Drosophila melanogaster: one gene and its partner. The protein of the gene in region 1 interacts with the protein of each later gene in a pairwise test. Each region holds a gene or a part of one and is shown in the gene's direction. Other genes may lie near its edges.

Region 1 (8,284 bases):
GTTTGAGTCACGACTTTTATCGAAAACTAATCCATATATATGTAAAAGCCTGCATATGTTAAAATGTTTACCATATAGTCTATGTGCGAACTAAAAAAAATTTTTCAGTATCATTACTATTGTAGTTCAAATCCCGCCCGAAGGAACAACAACGTGACAAGTAGAACCAATGTTATCATCTTCAATTTAAAAACAAAAGCCTAAACAAAAGTCAACCAAATCCTAACTTTAGACTGAAGCTATTGACATTTACTAAGCAAACAAAAAGCAGAACGTGCGTAGATAAAGTTAGTTAGTAAGCCGTCAAGTTGATTTTGATATTATATTTAAACCAATTCTTGTACAAGTGCGTAAGAGTGTCTGGACAGGAGTACCGGCATGCTCCACATTTGTATATCCTTTCCAAACCGGCCTATTAGCTGGCTCTTTTTGTACATGTTCGTGTCCTCCACTTGTGGCTTCCTACTCCGTAGCTCTTAAGCATGCTCTTTATATAACCTTTTTGTTTTACCCATTAATTTGTTAAACCCAATAAATGATTTTTCCCGAAATCCTTACACGTAATCGATATATTTTTATATTTATTGTAATGAAGAGTCGGAAACAAAACCACTCCTACCGTGAGCGAAATCTCAGAGCACATTTGTCTTGAAGTCGTAGTTTTCTCCTGGAAAAGCGCCGGAGAAGATTTCGACAGGCACATCACTAAGGTGTTAAGCAGTCCAGTCGCCTAAGATATACAAAACCAATTTGATCATTGATATTCGAAAAATAAATCGTATATGTGTAATTTACATTGAATTTACTGGTGTCCCTCGAAAATGGATTATTTATGTAATGGACTTTTAGTGGATATATATATGGTCAAAGCTGTTAACTCCGTTCATCGCCTTAGTAATGCGAAAATGGTTGGTCATAATCTTTATGTGTATATCGATGGAATGCGACGGGGAAAGTCAGAAATATTTTGCAGAGCCGATGCAGATAGGATGTATCCGTTTATTATATCCAGACATTTAACTTCTAGTTTGGACACTTGGCTATTTTTAAATACAATAACTACTGATATTGGAAGCATTCGAAACGGCAGTCTTTATTCAATTATTCAACATATAATTCAACTCCGACAAAGCATGCCTTGTTGCAAGCATGCAATCATCTACAGTGCACCCTTTGACCTTTAAATATGGAATCCCTAGAAGAATTATTTACGGATTTATTAAGGTTTGTACGTTTGTGATGTCGAGGTGGTTAACTTAACGCGTAATTGAATGCCAACTATTTTAGACCTTATATTTTAATTGATAAAACTATCTCATTAGATGATTTCAACTGGGCTTCAAGTGCATTGATGAGGGAAACTAAAGATTCACATATTTTGACAAGTTAAATGTGTTTTTAAAAAATTCAATGACAACAAGAAACAAGGAAAACTTCTGCAAGACCGAGCTTATATACCCTTGCAGTAATCAAATTAAAAAAATATATGTTTACCAAATAGCAAAAAATCAATGTTCACAAACAATGAAAAACCCAAAATAATAAACTGAAGCCTTAAAACGCTTTATGACCGAAGTCAATGATAGATTTAAAGCTAAAAAACGATCACCCCGAAACCTGTTACATATGAAAGATTCCGTTAGCTAGGCTTTTATTTGTTAAAAGACATTTTTAAATGTTCTTATTAAAAACTTAAATAAAGCTCTATTTCAATTCTTCTTAGAATTCGAGACTACCGCTTATCTTATAGAACTCATCCTCGGAGCGCGAATTCAATACGCACAGATGTACAGCCTGGCACTGGGCTACTCCGAAATCGAAGTCTCCAAAGCGCTTGAGGATCTCGCGAGCGTCAAAGCTGTTACCAGATTTATTTGCCTTATTGCGGTAGCGGTTGTTCATCACCGTCATGTGCAGTTTAATGGATTCACGTTCAATATTGTCTGTAGCGCACAGTGCTGTAGTCTGAAAGTGGGCCAGACACTGATCCGCAAACTTTTGCAGATCCGGAGACTCGATGCGGGCATACAGAATGCGAGTGGAGCTTGGATCGTCGTTCATAATCTCCAGGCCCTTAACTTTAATTTGGAAAGGTATTTTAAGGCCATCCAGTAAACGACGACATGATTCCAGATTCTTCAGGGCTTCTTGGCGTTCAATGTCATCTAGCAGCACATAGACGCCTAAGGTAAGATGAATGCAGCACTCCGGAGTGAAAAGCTCCTTATCGATGCCTGGCAACTCGGCCTCCAAAATGCATTTCTAGGAAAATTGGAAATAAGTTTTTGCACAACTAGTTTTTTTAGCTAATACCTTTAGTTCCATAAAACGCTCCTTGACTTCTCCAGAGTTTAGAGCCACGGCCAAAAAGTGTGTCGGTTTCATTTTTTTTCGTAAAGAGGCTACAAGATGGTGGATTTGTCGCAGTGCAGCGCATACTTGACTGCGTTGCTTGGCCTTGATAGTCACTTCGTTTGACCTATCGTTCGGACGCGGAACAAAGATCTCTGTACGGGTCTCTTCCTCTATGCGGCGCTTCGTAGATCCTTTCATGCCAATTAGTCCACCGTAAAATGATCTGCAAGGATATGTGTCAGAGATATCGTCAGCGGTTCTTTGTATTCAACCCACTTGGACACATGAATGGAAAGACTAAAATCGCCATTTGCTGACTCCTTAATACATTTGACAACCGCATCGTCCTCGTCATCATCATCATCACCATAAAGATCTGGACAGAAGTGGTCAATGTGGATAATTAAAAATCTACAATATCCACTTACCCGGCTCTTCGTAGGCTTTGTACTCTAGTTTATTCCGTTGGTTTTGACCATTCCACTTGTCGCCACCGAAGTCGTCGTGAACAACGTTGACTCTATAGCGCCGATTCTGGCTCATCTTTTGGACAGGAGGTGATAACACTTCGCGGCTCATGGTGATCAAAAATATTTAGGACTCTTTTATAATTACGGCGATATCCAAAATCAAATGTACTTCATTAAATGATAGACAAGCCGGGAATGACTACTATGCACTTTGGTATATTAGGAAACACTTTAAAAAATACTAGACTTGAATAAGTAATAGTGATGGCAGCTACTTATTTAAGTATTAAAAACATTTATATGGGATGAAATATTTGTTCTTAATTTCATAACAAAATGTACACGTTATTTTATACCAAACATTATATAGAGTGGGTGTACGAGGAAATCTGTCTTGGATCATGTTAGATGTTTAAATAAATTAATTGTACCATAATAAAAATCTGAGACTAAATAATTATGAAGAATTATTATATTTATATCAGAAACATATCCAAAGTCAAGCAATTATATATTGAAAACTACGCAGAATACGATGATCCAAAATGTGTTACCAATTGAAATTCTTATAATCGATAGTATCGTGTCACGGCACCCACAACACACGAACCGCCCATCCCTAAACCAATTTGAGTTTCCCCAATTTGACAGCCAAAATTTAGTTGGTTTCATCTGAAAAAGCAAATTAACTGAGAAATACTACCGAAAATGTCGCAGCGATAAGGTGAAATAGGCACCTGTCCGCCCAAAAGGGGAAGCAAGCAGCGGATAGCGTCAAAAAGCGTTTGTTAACAGCTTGCGAAGTCAGTGAATCACTAAAAGATAAAGACATTGAATTGGCCAGTGGAGCGACCGCTGGAGGAGCACCCACAATTGCAGACCCATCGATCGCCCCTAATCCGCTCCAGCTCCAGGTGGAGGTGACACCAACGCCCCGAGACACACGCGCCCTTGCCGAAGTGGTGGCCCACATAAATAGAATGGGTAACGACGATCATCGACGGCGGAAGACACCCTGCGGATTTTGTATGGCAGTCTTCAAATGGATACCAGTGCTATTTATCACCGCGGTAATAGCTTGGTCCTATTACGCTTATGTGGTGGAGCTATGCATCCGTGAGTTGTATTTACAGTCATGTAGGGGGGGGATATAACCTGATGTTTCCTTTTTCAGGCAACTCGGAGAACCGCATTGGTATGATCTTCATGCTTCTGTTCTACCACCTCTTCCTCACCCTGTTCATGTGGTCGTACTGGCGCACCATAATGACCTCCGTAGGCCGAATACCAGATCAAGTGAGTGAATCATACACCTTATCAGCTCGTGTTATTAAAAGAAAACGGAAAAGCCTACAATATTCGATTGCTTTTCTCCCGTTTTTAGTGGAGGATACCGGATGAGGAAGTGTCGCGACTTTTCCGAGCCGACAGCCCGGACACCCAGAAACGCATTCTTAACAACTTTGCGCGCGATTTGCCAGTAACGAATCGGTAAGCGTTATGTTATGTTATATCTTGTCAGTTGATTTGTATTTGTATAACTTTATCAAACAAAACCATTTTATCTAAGAAATTAAAAGTTGTCCCAATTAAGACATTTCCAAATGCATTTCTCAGCAGCAGAACAATTAGGACGGCGCATTCCGAAGCATTTTTGATAATATTTAAACCTTTGCCTTGCAGCACAATGAATGGTTCGGTGCGGTTCTGCGAAAAGTGCAAGATCATCAAGCCAGACCGAGCTCACCACTGTAGTGTGTGCAGTTGCTGCGTACTGAAGATGGATCACCACTGCCCCTGGGTAAACAACTGCGTTAACTTTTACAACTACAAGTACTTCGTGTTGTTCCTGGGCTATGCTCTTGTCTACTGCCTGTATGTGGCTTTTACCTCGCTACACGACTTTGTCGAGTTCTGGAAGGTAGGTGCAGTAAGTTTCCGATTCGTTTCTACTCTTGCTACCACCCTAAATGCCCGCTGCATGCGAAGACCTGTTAGTTAATGAATGTATTCTCTCGTTTTGCTGTAATGTTATCTAAACTGCTTGTACTTACTGATCCAAGTACGATAATAATGGTTACTCGGCACAGGGACAGCTAAATGCCAGTGGAATGGGTCGTTTTCACATCTTGTTCCTGTTCTTCATTGCCATTATGTTTGCCATTAGTTTGGTGAGTTTATTTGGCTACCACATCTACCTTGTGCTGGTGAATCGCACGACATTGGGTAAGTACCTAAAGCCTGACTTATAAATCACATGCATACCATAGCCTCTTTAATCTATCTTCCATTCAGAGTCGTTCAGGGCTCCGATCTTCCGCGTTGGCGGCCCCGATAAGAATGGTTATAACTTGGGGCGTTATGCCAATTTCTGCGAAGTATTTGGTGACGACTGGCAATACTGGTTCCTGCCCGTGTTTTCGAGGTATTTGACGATTCATTTACTACACCATTTCTACTAGTTCCACCAGAAGCTCTCTCACTCATTAGTTGTTGTTCTTGCGCACTTTTATTTAATTAGATTTGATCTAATGGCTATTTGATTTTGGTTTTTATGTTGATTTCGGCAAATTAAAGGCATGTTCCAAAATTAAAGCTTTGTAGCTAAAACCTTTAATATCCTTCAATGTGTGTTTGGTGTGCTAAGTTATTAAGAAAAACAAACGACTATTGAAGATCACAGATTTTAGATTAACTTAAAGCAATTTCTAACACGTATAATTTATGTAAACCCATAATAACTGTGTATGCTGAAAAATGAGACCGAAAAGCAATGAATCAATGTGGTCGATCTCCTTTTGTAATTTAGTTTTAAGCCAAATTCAAATTATCACTTTATTTCAATTGTGTTCGTTATTTATTTTTGTAAATAAAAAGAGACAAATTTTGCCAGCGATTTTTAGAAATAGACACTTAGATCTAACCAAAACAAGCTTAGTAACCAATTGTCCGCCCCGTAAAGTGACTAACTTAAAGTGTCCAAGTTTGAAATTCTGACGGAACTTTCTGAATTTTAAATGCTCATTAAGTTTCTTTAAAACCAAAACACTTGCCACACATGAAAAGTCGATTAAATTTTTACATTCGTATTCACACATCTGTGCAAAATTATATAACAAAAAAACCTCAAACAACAACAGCTACAACTACAATAAGCTAAACTGTAAAAAAACAAAAACAATATTTATGTTTACAACTCTCTGTTTAACGCAATACCCCAACCTTCTGCTTATTCATAATCACGGAACTAGTCGCGGTGATGGCTACAGCTATCCGACCTCCAGCGACCAGAGTCGAGTGTCCACCAGCTCTCCCACCCAGCGGTACGATGCCATGGGAGATACGACCACCAGCAGGTTAGATGGCAATCCAACAGATAAGTTGATTGGCGCTAGTCCCCTCGACACCACTAACCATCATCACAACCAATCGCCTCATCAAGTAAGAAGCACCAGCGTCCTGCCAACCCAGCTGTTGCAGATCCAGCCGCCATCTACATGCCGGGACGAGCTCAACGAGCGGCAGCAAAAGCTGGCAAACGGCCAATCATTAGACTGCAGCACGCCAGCAGCCATGTCTAGCCCGGACGAGCGTGGAGTCAATGGGGCAGCCGTATACATCGAAATGATTGGAGATCATCCGTTGACAAGCGCTGATCCTGCCAAAGGCTTCCCACGCCCGCCGAATGGCGATCTGCCAGTTTAAATAATAACGTAGAATGTATTATGTGTATGTTTTTGTACCATAGAGCCAAGTAAACTGCCAGATTTGTCAGCGTTGCGGTTCTTAGTAAGCAAATAAGTTACCTCTATGCAATTCATCAGCTGTTTAGTGTAGGCTATTTAAATGTTTAAATGGCTGGGACCATAATATAAATCACCACATATGTATAATCGACTAAGTTAACATTAGGCAATATGTCATTGGTTTCACACACGCATTTATCGAATTTTTTAATGGAAATTAGAAGAATCGAATGTGGAATTTCCTAGTAGATGAGATGGTGTTATCCTCCGAAGATTTGTACCTTGCTAATGCATTCATGAAACCAACTATCCTTGTAGATATCGAAAGATCTTCAAGACTTAAACCTAATGATAAGCAATGAGATTTCAGTACACACTATTAACACACACGGAATTCAGTAATTTCCATATGGTTTTAATTTATGTAGTTAGTAACTGTTTGCAAGTTTTTATACTTTTTCTTACTTTGTACACCTTAATGCCCAAATACATATATTATTGAACTTCTGCAAGTGACGAAATTAAATGGATTTTAAAGTATTTAAAACTTATAAAGGTTTGTTTTTAGTTTGCCAAATAAATAAACATGACAGCTTTGCTTCATCTGCACAGCACCGAATCTTCAATCAATCCATTACATACACAATAACGCACTCATTACTTATCAATTTCCCACTGATGATATAATTCACCACATATCCTTTAGCTTTGGCGATGGCAAAACATTTCCGATTCGACATATGGAAGAGGACACGGAATCTTTGCTAGGATATCACAGCGATACGCGCATCGAGTTGGAGGAGGACTTTCTGCCAGAGCCGCGATTTCAAGACTCGATTCCATAGCTAATCATGACCAGCGACAATGTAGCTACATATTACATTTAGAGATTCAGTTGTGAAGCCTCCTTACGACATACATATACTTTCAGTGTGTAAATAACAGAGGTACAGACAGTCCATCCTATAGGGACAACTAGGTTATTATGTTTAAGTTACGAATGAGTCGATAGACAATTGTAATGTATATGTATGTAAGTGATAATGCGAAAAATGTTAGGAGATCAAAATCTTAATTCTTGCTTGGACATTCGAGTTTGAAATTTAAAATCGTATTAATTTAGTGTGTAAGGATAAAGTTATTAGAACATTTCGAACAAAAGTATATGTCTATATAGGAATATAGCTCGTTATAGCTCGCGTCAACAAAAAACAAAATAGTATACACGCTTAGTGGAATAACAAGAAAATCAAAAGCGAAACTTTAAGCAACACATACGGATCTGTATATTTACAAAAATAAAATTCCAACTATTCCCATTAATCGAACCGACTTAAGTCGTCATCTGCACACGAGTGGCTTGTTCCAGAAACGGTGGTGGATGAAACCACTTCAAAATCGTCTTGTGCTGGGGTGTTTTTCGCTAATTCCTCGGAGGAATCGGCAAAAGGATTGGCCGTCAGTCGAGCCACTTTCGGCAATGGTTTTGAAAATGAAGGTTCATCAACGACTGTTTCATCAGGAGTATCCTCTACTTGCTTCCTTTTCTTTTGCTTTTTGCTAACTAAAACATCTCGCCGTACTGCAATGCCTGAATCCTCACTTTTAGGTAGCAGATCAGTCAAATCGATCTCCACATCAGCCACTTGCGGTTGCAGTTTCTCCTGGAGAGCCGCTAAAGCAATCAACAGCGCTTCCTCGGTGCGAATGGTT
Region 2 (8,284 bases), on another chromosome or scaffold:
ATTCTGCCGCAGGCCATCCTCATCGTTTAGTTTTGTACTTTATGCCTCCGGATCCAACCATCTGTCACGCTGAAGCTTCGGCCTCAATAAGTATTCTAGGCATTCGTTATCCGACGCCAGGAGTCGCGGCACAGCTCCATGTTGAGCAATTGTTCATGCGACTGTTTTTAGAGACGAGGCTCCGAGCGCTAGTGTACATGGTGGGTCGCAAGACGTTGAATTGCGATAAGAATAAGTTTAATCTTCATTTTATAACTGTGGTATTCAATGCAGTGACGAAGGCGACTACTTTATGCACAGTGAGAAATATTCAAAAGTGAGGAAACCAATAGTCATATACCAAAGGTATCAAAAACTAAAACGATTGCATGCCAAGACGCTGAAGAATATGAACTAATATAAGATGCGCTCTATTATAGTTTTCTTAGTACTGTATCCGTTTTTGGCTCTCAAAACCATACTTAACTCATACCGACCGGCCTATCCCACTAAACGCATTCTTATCAAAAATTCAGGATACAATTATAGCTTGGAGACTGTTTGTATTTGTATTAAACGATAAAATCGATGGTCTTTTTTTTTTTGCAAAATCAACACAGCCTTCAGGATCTAGACCAAATATAGAAAAATGCAAAGCCCATTAACTACCATTTAAACAACAAACGAGAGAGAATGCTATAGTCGGGTTCCCCGACTATCAGATACCCGTGTAAGGGCGCTGTCACCTCGAAAACTTTAAAAGCTTTGAAGTTAAGATAATGTATGCATTTCTTTCCTTTTTTCTGATTTTCGAAACGTAACGTTTTAAACGTTTTAATCATTCGTTAATCAAACAGCAATTCATATAACAGAACGTTATATGAATTTTTGTTAAGTGTTCTAAATATTTTGGTAACACAGACAGGACGAAATGAATTTTCTATCTATTAAATAAATTGATATTTAAAGAAAGCAAATTAATTTAGAAATATATTGACAATTTCCAACTAATTTATCTCTGTTATGGAAAATTAGTTTAGGAAAAAAGTTAAAATAACAAAAGGAACCGCTATAGATTTTCTCCACTAGCGCCACTCAACTAAGGGGAGAACGAGGGAGAAACTTTGAAACTTGATTGTCATATCCATAAAATTGTTTAGAATAACAAGAGAGAATGCTATAGTCGAGTTGCCTGAATATCAGATACCCGTTAACCCAGATATTTTTCTGCGATACCAAAAGATGTTGGGGAATAAAATGAGAAAAAATTTCAACAATTTTCAAAAGTGGGGCGTGACCGGTTTGTCGGCTTAAGGGCGTCACAGTGGGTGTGGCAAACAGTTTTTTTTTTGCACATCGATCGGAATTTACAAGACTAATAAAGATGTGAAAAAATATCAATATATTTTTCAAAAGAGTGATCGTGGCATTTTTTCGTGGGCTTGTGGGCGTTGCAACATGGATCAACAAACTTGCGCTGCGTCTTTGTCTCTAGAATCTGCATGCTAAATCTCCGCCTTCCAGCTTTTATAGTTCCTGAGATCTCGACGTTCATACGGACAGACGGACATGGCTATATCGACTCGGCTATTGATCCGTTATACAGTCGGAAACGCTTCCTTCTGCGTGTTACATTCCTTTAAACGAATCTACGTTACTCTACGAGTAACGGGTATAATAACCAAATAAAAAAGTCTAAACATATTTAAAAAATTTGGTTGGCGTTCGAATGAGATGGTGGAGGTATTTTGGCAAAGCGATACAAAGTAGCAAAAAATCAAAAAATGCAATGAAAAATAATTATAACATTTCACAAAAGTGTGGGTGTGAACCTTTTGGGCGGTTTGCCGTCGTTAGGGTGTGCGAATATTTCAAAACTTGCCCACGTACCACTATGTGAAATTTTACCACTTTTTCTGCCCAAAATGAATAACTCCAGGACGTTGAAAGATATTCAGATTGGGTTACAATATATCCGTTCTGAAACCGCCCCTTATATTTGTTGTAGTTTGTAACTCTAGAACGGATAAAGATATTTAAATTTTTTTGCCATTATCTTTTATGATACCAAAAATTGTGGCCGTGGCACCGCCTCTTATATTTAATTAACTAATTTTGTATAGGTATTTCTCTAATTTCGTATGCTTTTTCTAGTCCAAGCAAAAGAATGGTAGCTGTTAAGATGATTTTGGCTTGATGTTTGATGCCAATTTGATGTCCTCGAGATGTTGGTTATATACATTTATTTATATATTTAAGTATGTCCTGTGTGTTAAAGTTTTCAATAGTTGTAAGTGGATGGCTTGTTGCGGTTCTTGCTTGGCTGTCAGCGAGTTCATTTCCTGGTGTTCTTAATAATGCAGAATTTTGCTCTTTTATTTTTATGAGTTCTTAGGGCCTCAATAATGGCTAGTATGATGTGCCGTTTGATAAGTTAAATTTCGTAGTTAATAGCGAAGCTGGTAATTTTGTTTGTTTGAGATCCATCTGTGTAAATGTAGGTCTAGGAAAGATCGTTAGTTTGCTTATTATTTAATATTTTCCTTATCAATTTTGGGGTCGTGTTGTTTTTGTTGAACTTATTGTGTGTTGTGTCGATTTTAGAAAGATTGGTGTTTCAGGGAGGTGAGGTTTGGGGGCATATATTACCCGTTACTCGCAGAGTAAAAGGGTATACTAGATTCGTTGAGAAGTATGAACCGGCGGAAGGAAGCGTTTTCGACCATATAATATATATATATTCTTGATCAGGATCAATAGCCGAGTCGATCTATCCATGCCAGTCTATCGGTCTGTACGTAGGGAAATGCAAAGACAAAACAAAATGTGAAAATATATCGCACATACCTAAGTATGTAGTTATGTAAATACACATACATATATACATATATTTCACATTTTACATAGCCACATATGAATATACATATGTGTTTTCGGGTAGGGTATCATTTTAAAAGTGTCTGTCTTGCGTTACTTACATTTTTTCAATAACAAGTACTCAATACTTTTGCTTTTGGATTGTATTTTCTCCACTGTACATTTGTATAACAAAATCCATAATATTATCTTTTAAGCTACGCATTAAGGTAATTTCAGAAGGAAATGAACGATTCCTAGTGACTTCAATATTATTGAATAATAATTGATTTTTCCAAAAAAAAGATTGTATTCAAATATATTTCGGTATTGTTATATATTCATACATAAATTCATTTATACACATAACGGAAAATTAAAAAACATCGATTAGTTCGTAATCAAAGCACATTAAATCAATGCTTAACAATAATCAGGACACACTATGTAGTACGTTATTTAAAAAATTATTAACATAATGCTTGTGTTCTAACTAAATAACCGACTGACCCTTTCAGGAGTAAGGGAGAACTCTTCATTCTGATAATGAAAATGCGAGAAAGATGGAGCTATTCAAACAGCAAAACATTGATACGGACAAGTCCAGTTCGACTCTACTAGTTTTCCTGATCAAGAATATATGTATATACATTAAAGGGTCGGTAACGCTTCCTTTTACCTGTTAAATACTTTTCAAGGAATTTAATATACGCCTCCACCATACGAGGGCATGAAAATCATTTTTGGTACTTCACAACATTTTTAAAATTGTAAAAGGCTTAAAGATTCCATACAACAGTTATTTAATATCGATAGAAAATTCGCGATTCTGGACTTTTATTTAGAAGTTTTTACCTTATCGATATATCGATAGAAGATATTTAAAATGCTATAAAAGTATTTTGGTTCTTCCAATGTCTAACGCTTTTTTTGAGTGTCCTGTTGAGGAAACCAATGTTTTTTAAGATTTTTTCCCAAAGCTTCACATGCGTTTTATCGTTTGTAAATATAATTCCTAATTAAAGTTTTTTTTATGGACCACTGATATGTAGTTCTTTACCATCAATGCGATAGCTGCGTTCAAGTTCGACACTAAATAAGGCCGATGATTAATCGATACTATCGACAGTGCCCATTCGGCCGATAGCTAAACAAAAACAAAAAAAAAATAAACATAAACAAACAACAGCACAAGGACCGGACCTAGTCAAACAAAACAACGCCATGGGTTTTCCGCGCATCCTCAGCAAGAACAACAAGATCTACACCAAGCTGGGCGAGTTCTGTTTGTCGGGGGATAGCTTCTGGATTGTTTGTCACACGTGCCAAGAGGAGTTGCAGACACAGGATCAGTTCTGGAAGCACATACAGGATGAGCATAATTTCATGCACGGGGTGGCAAAGGTATGCTTTATGTGGTTTTTTTTTGGCGGAGGGTTTATAACCCTTGGTCTCTTTACACAGGAACACAGTCGTACATCCAGCTACTGCCTAACGGATGTGGAGGCTGCGGCGGCAGCAGCAACGCCAGGAAGCAGCTCCCAGCAAGGCGCCACAGCGATCAGTGTGCCTCTGGCACTTTACACCTGCTCAACCAAGTATTCTGAGGAGGAGCAGCGGGAGGTGGAAATGCACGAACAGCAGGTGCAACACCAAGTGCAACAGCAGCAAGCGCAGCAGCAGCAAGCGCAGCAGCAACAACACCAACAGTCTCAGCAGCAAGGGCACCAGCAACACCAGGTTCAACAACAGCAGACCCACCAGCAGCTCCAACAGCAGCGGGATGTTGCCAAGGAGCTGGCTGAACTCCATGCCAATGCGGTAGCTGCCGCTGCAGCCTCCGCAGCTGTGGTATCCACAGGCGAAGGAACTACCCAAAGTAACAGCGCCATCGACATTAAAATAGAGCCCAGCAGTCTGACACTTACACCCGAAATGCAGGCTGCTGCAGCAGCTGGGGGGACCATTTACCATCTGCCACAGCTAGTTCCACCACCTGTACCGCCTCCACCGCCAGGGTCCGGATTTGTAAGCGTCAGCGCCAGTACCAGCACCTCCAATACGGTCAGCACCACGCCACCCAATGTTCTACAGCAGCAACAGCAACTAAACATGTCTGTCGTTCCTTCGACGGCTATGGCCGCCGCTATGCTAGCCGCCAGTCAGGAACAGCTGCCCAAGGACTCTAACAGCACGACGGCCAGCGCCGGGAGTGCTGTCTCTTCAGATGACGGAGAACGCTGGTACGTCTGCGATTACGAGACTTGTGGTTTGAAGTTTAAGTATAAGTCGAGAATGGAGCTACATCGGGTAGTTCACAGCAAGGAGCGGCGGTTCAATTGCGAACTGTGCAGTGCCTCCTTCAAGCAGTCGTGCAACCTATCAACACACCGGAAGAAAAAGCACGCACTGAGAGGCATCAAAAGCGAGATATTGCCGCAGCGCTTTTAGGCTATACATTAAACAGAGACAGCTCAAAGATTCCCCAATTAACCACATTGCATCTCGAAAAACCCTGTTTGAAAATGTTGACTTAAGTTCAAGGAAATCGCTTGTTTGCCACAAAAAATGTTCATTGTGCTAGGAGCCACAGAAATCTGTTGAATTAGCAAGGTGTGTACAAAAGAGTTCTACATTTTGTCTCTTCCATGATTTCTCTGCCTTTTCTAAGACTCAATAAAGTTATAGACTTTATATTTATATTTATAAATTAAATAATTCTGGATAATTCCGACTGTAAATTAAAATTTAGCACTGCGTCAACATTGTGGCAGGCAAGTGACATATATATGTATATCACATATGTGTATATATATATGCTCTACAAATGAATATATATTGTATATAAATAAATATATAATATAAATATATATAACATGTATGCATATTTAGTATATAAAAATATACAAATATAAACTAATATCTAATGTAGGCTTAGGTTGTCATGTAAATGTAATGTAAATGTTTAGGCAGAGGTATGAAAACCCCCGTTATCTTTTACGCTCTAAGTGTACATGCAATGATGTGTGTAAAGGAGACCAAAATTTAGAAGACGGAATTAAGCCCAACCAAAAAATATGTTGGTGTCTAGACCGTTGTGAGTTTTGTTTTAGAGTAAATTGGTTCACAATGTGTTAAAACCGATTAGTCTCCTTTGAGTAAGTCTTTTACTTTAAGTTGAAATGGATTCTGAGGACAGCGAGATTTCTGGGACATATCTAGTGGTTGCTGAAATAGTGTCAGTTACAGTTTACAAGGTTAGAACAGTTATTTACCTAGATACACAATATTTATGTATATATGGCCATATATACAGCTGCGAAAAATTTAATATTACCACTTGCCCAATCAAGGTTTGAATAAGTCCCAATTTTAGGATTTAAAAAGAGCAAAAATACCTTTTTAGAAAAGTTAAATCATGCACTTATTAGAAAATAAAAAATAATTACATTGTTCTATGAGTTCTTAACTTAATTAGCCACGTCATGAAAAATGCTTAAATATTCAATTTTAAACAGCTGTTCAACGTGTTGGCATGGATTGATTCAGGTCCTGGCACTGTTTAAGGGATATTTAGGTCCAGGACTTCTTAATTACAGCCCAAAGTTTTCCATTGTTAGTTGCTCGAGAAGCTACAACTGCCTTTTTATTATCGTTGAAAGTATGTAACAGGCAGAAAGGAATCCGACCATATAAAGTATATAACTGCTACGCCCACATTTTTGAAAAATTGTTTGATATTTTTTCATAATTTTATTAGTTGTGTAAATTTCTATCGATTTGCCAAAAAACAGTTTTGAACAATTCTTAAATTTTTTCTCATTTTATTCCCCAATATCTATCGATATCATAATAAAATGATAAAATTTCGTGTTCGCATTCACACTAGCTGAGCAACGGGTATCTCTCTTGTTTTTCTTGTATTTTATCCATTGCCCACAAAGTTAACAACCTTGCTCACATCTGACCATAAAATGTTAATGCGCTTGGCTATGTGTCTCCCATTAAAAGGAGGGACTTTCCTTGGACTTCAGTATTTTAAACCATGTTCCCTGAGACATGTTCGAACTGTTTCTGCTATTGCGAATATGCCGAGCATCTGTTTCAGTTCGATAGCAGCTTTAAATGGGTCCTTCCTGCTCTCGCGCACTAGCCTTTTGAGTTTTTTAATTTTTCGCACTATGGGAAATTTGAACACCTTTTTTGTCCAAAATTAATAGCTCGAGAACGATATTAAGATATTTTTTTTGCATTGGGTTACACTAGCACATAACTAATTTTGTATAGGGCTAGGCGATTTCTGTGGCGCTCTAGCCTGTCGTGGTACCCGCTGGAGTGCATGTTTATTGCCTCGAAGACAGTGGCTAGCTTGAGGTCTTTGTGCAGGGTTGCGTTCCTTACGAACCATTCGTATCCCGTTATCATCCTGGCGATTTTGTTTTGGGCAGCCTGAATGCGACGAATTTGACTGTCGCACGCCAAGCCCCAAATTTGGCAACCATTCCGACATATTGGCGCTAAAATTTGCTTGTAAATTGTCACCTTGTTGGAGAGTGACAATTTACTTCGCAAATTAATTAACCAGAAGTGCTTTGACGCTGCTGCACGTATACGCACTCTCATCGCACTTGCTTCGGAAAGTTGAGTCTCCGATCCAAGATTACACCAAGATATTTGGATGAATTGGACTGGGGGACAGGGGTACCATCGATGAGCACAGCCGGTGGTGTTCCCCTTTTCAGTGTGTAGCACACATTCGCTGATTTGTCACCATTGATGCCAATGTTCCAACGTCTTGCATATTGCGCAAATGTTGATGTGAATTCCTGGATGCCTTGATATTAAGGGTGAGAGTGTCAACAGCTTCTTCTAGGTCTCTCCATCTTGGTATAAACTGTAGCTGTTGCATCTAGTGTATAATAAGCGGTAGGGGGTCGGAGCTGAACTCAGCAACAGAACGTTCAATATATCAGCATGCATATCCAGTATGCCCCTGCTGACAGCAAAATCTATATATTCTGGGGAGCCTCTACTGCCGTACGGGAATCTTGTAGGACCTCCGGTTGCTAGGGAGCTCATATCTGAGCTTAGGACCAGATTCGCTAGCTCACGCCCTCTTCGATTGCACCTACCCGCTCCCCATAGCCAGTGGGATGCATAATGCATTTAAATTCGTCCGTATTCCATATGAACCTCGGGGGCAGTATATCGCGCAAAAATTGACAGGGCCATGGCCCGTCTCGATGGCTGCAGACGCGAGTTGCACCTTGTCAGTGGCTATCGGTGTAAGAGGGAAGTGGACTAGGCTGGAATTGACCAGGATCGCTGCACCACCTTTGGCGTTACCGTCGCTCGGGTCGTTGGCAGTGTAGGACTGAAATCCAAATATTTTGGGTATATGCGTCTCCTTGTAGTGAGTCTCGCTGAGCAGCAGGACGTTGTGCGCCGC

What was found. Proteins that work in one complex are often made in the same cells at the same time.
Region 2: the proteins of CG1407 (region 1) and ATbp interact in a two-hybrid assay, tested with the Drosophila melanogaster proteins (one large-scale study listed by BioGRID).

What each region holds. Positions count from the first base shown.
Region 1 is NT_033778.4:10,028,051-10,036,334, reverse strand, and holds CG1407 (uncharacterized protein), read left to right. Parts: upstream 1-3,441; 5' UTR 3,442-3,805; coding exon 3,806-3,941; intron 3,942-3,999; coding exon 4,000-4,121; intron 4,122-4,209; coding exon 4,210-4,316; intron 4,317-4,508; coding exon 4,509-4,755; coding exon of another isoform or gene 4,756-4,827; exon of another isoform or gene 4,828-4,888; coding exon 4,889-5,051; intron 5,052-5,120; coding exon 5,121-5,250; intron 5,251-5,666; exon of another isoform or gene 5,667-6,076; coding exon 6,077-6,530; 3' UTR 6,531-7,072; downstream 7,073-8,284. Other genes in the region: CG12129 (uncharacterized protein), read right to left, coding at 1,720-2,262, 2,314-2,578, 2,632-2,731, 2,784-2,934; CG12128 (uncharacterized protein), read right to left, coding at 7,891-8,284.
Region 2 is NC_004354.4:23,102,045-23,110,328, forward strand, and holds ATbp ((A+T)-stretch binding protein), read left to right. Parts: upstream 1-3,958; 5' UTR 3,959-4,059; coding exon 4,060-4,239; intron 4,240-4,299; coding exon 4,300-5,286; 3' UTR 5,287-6,287; downstream 6,288-8,284. UniProt on the Drosophila melanogaster protein: May be a transcription factor for genes having (A+T) stretches in their promoter and/or enhancer regions. Binds to AT rich DNA.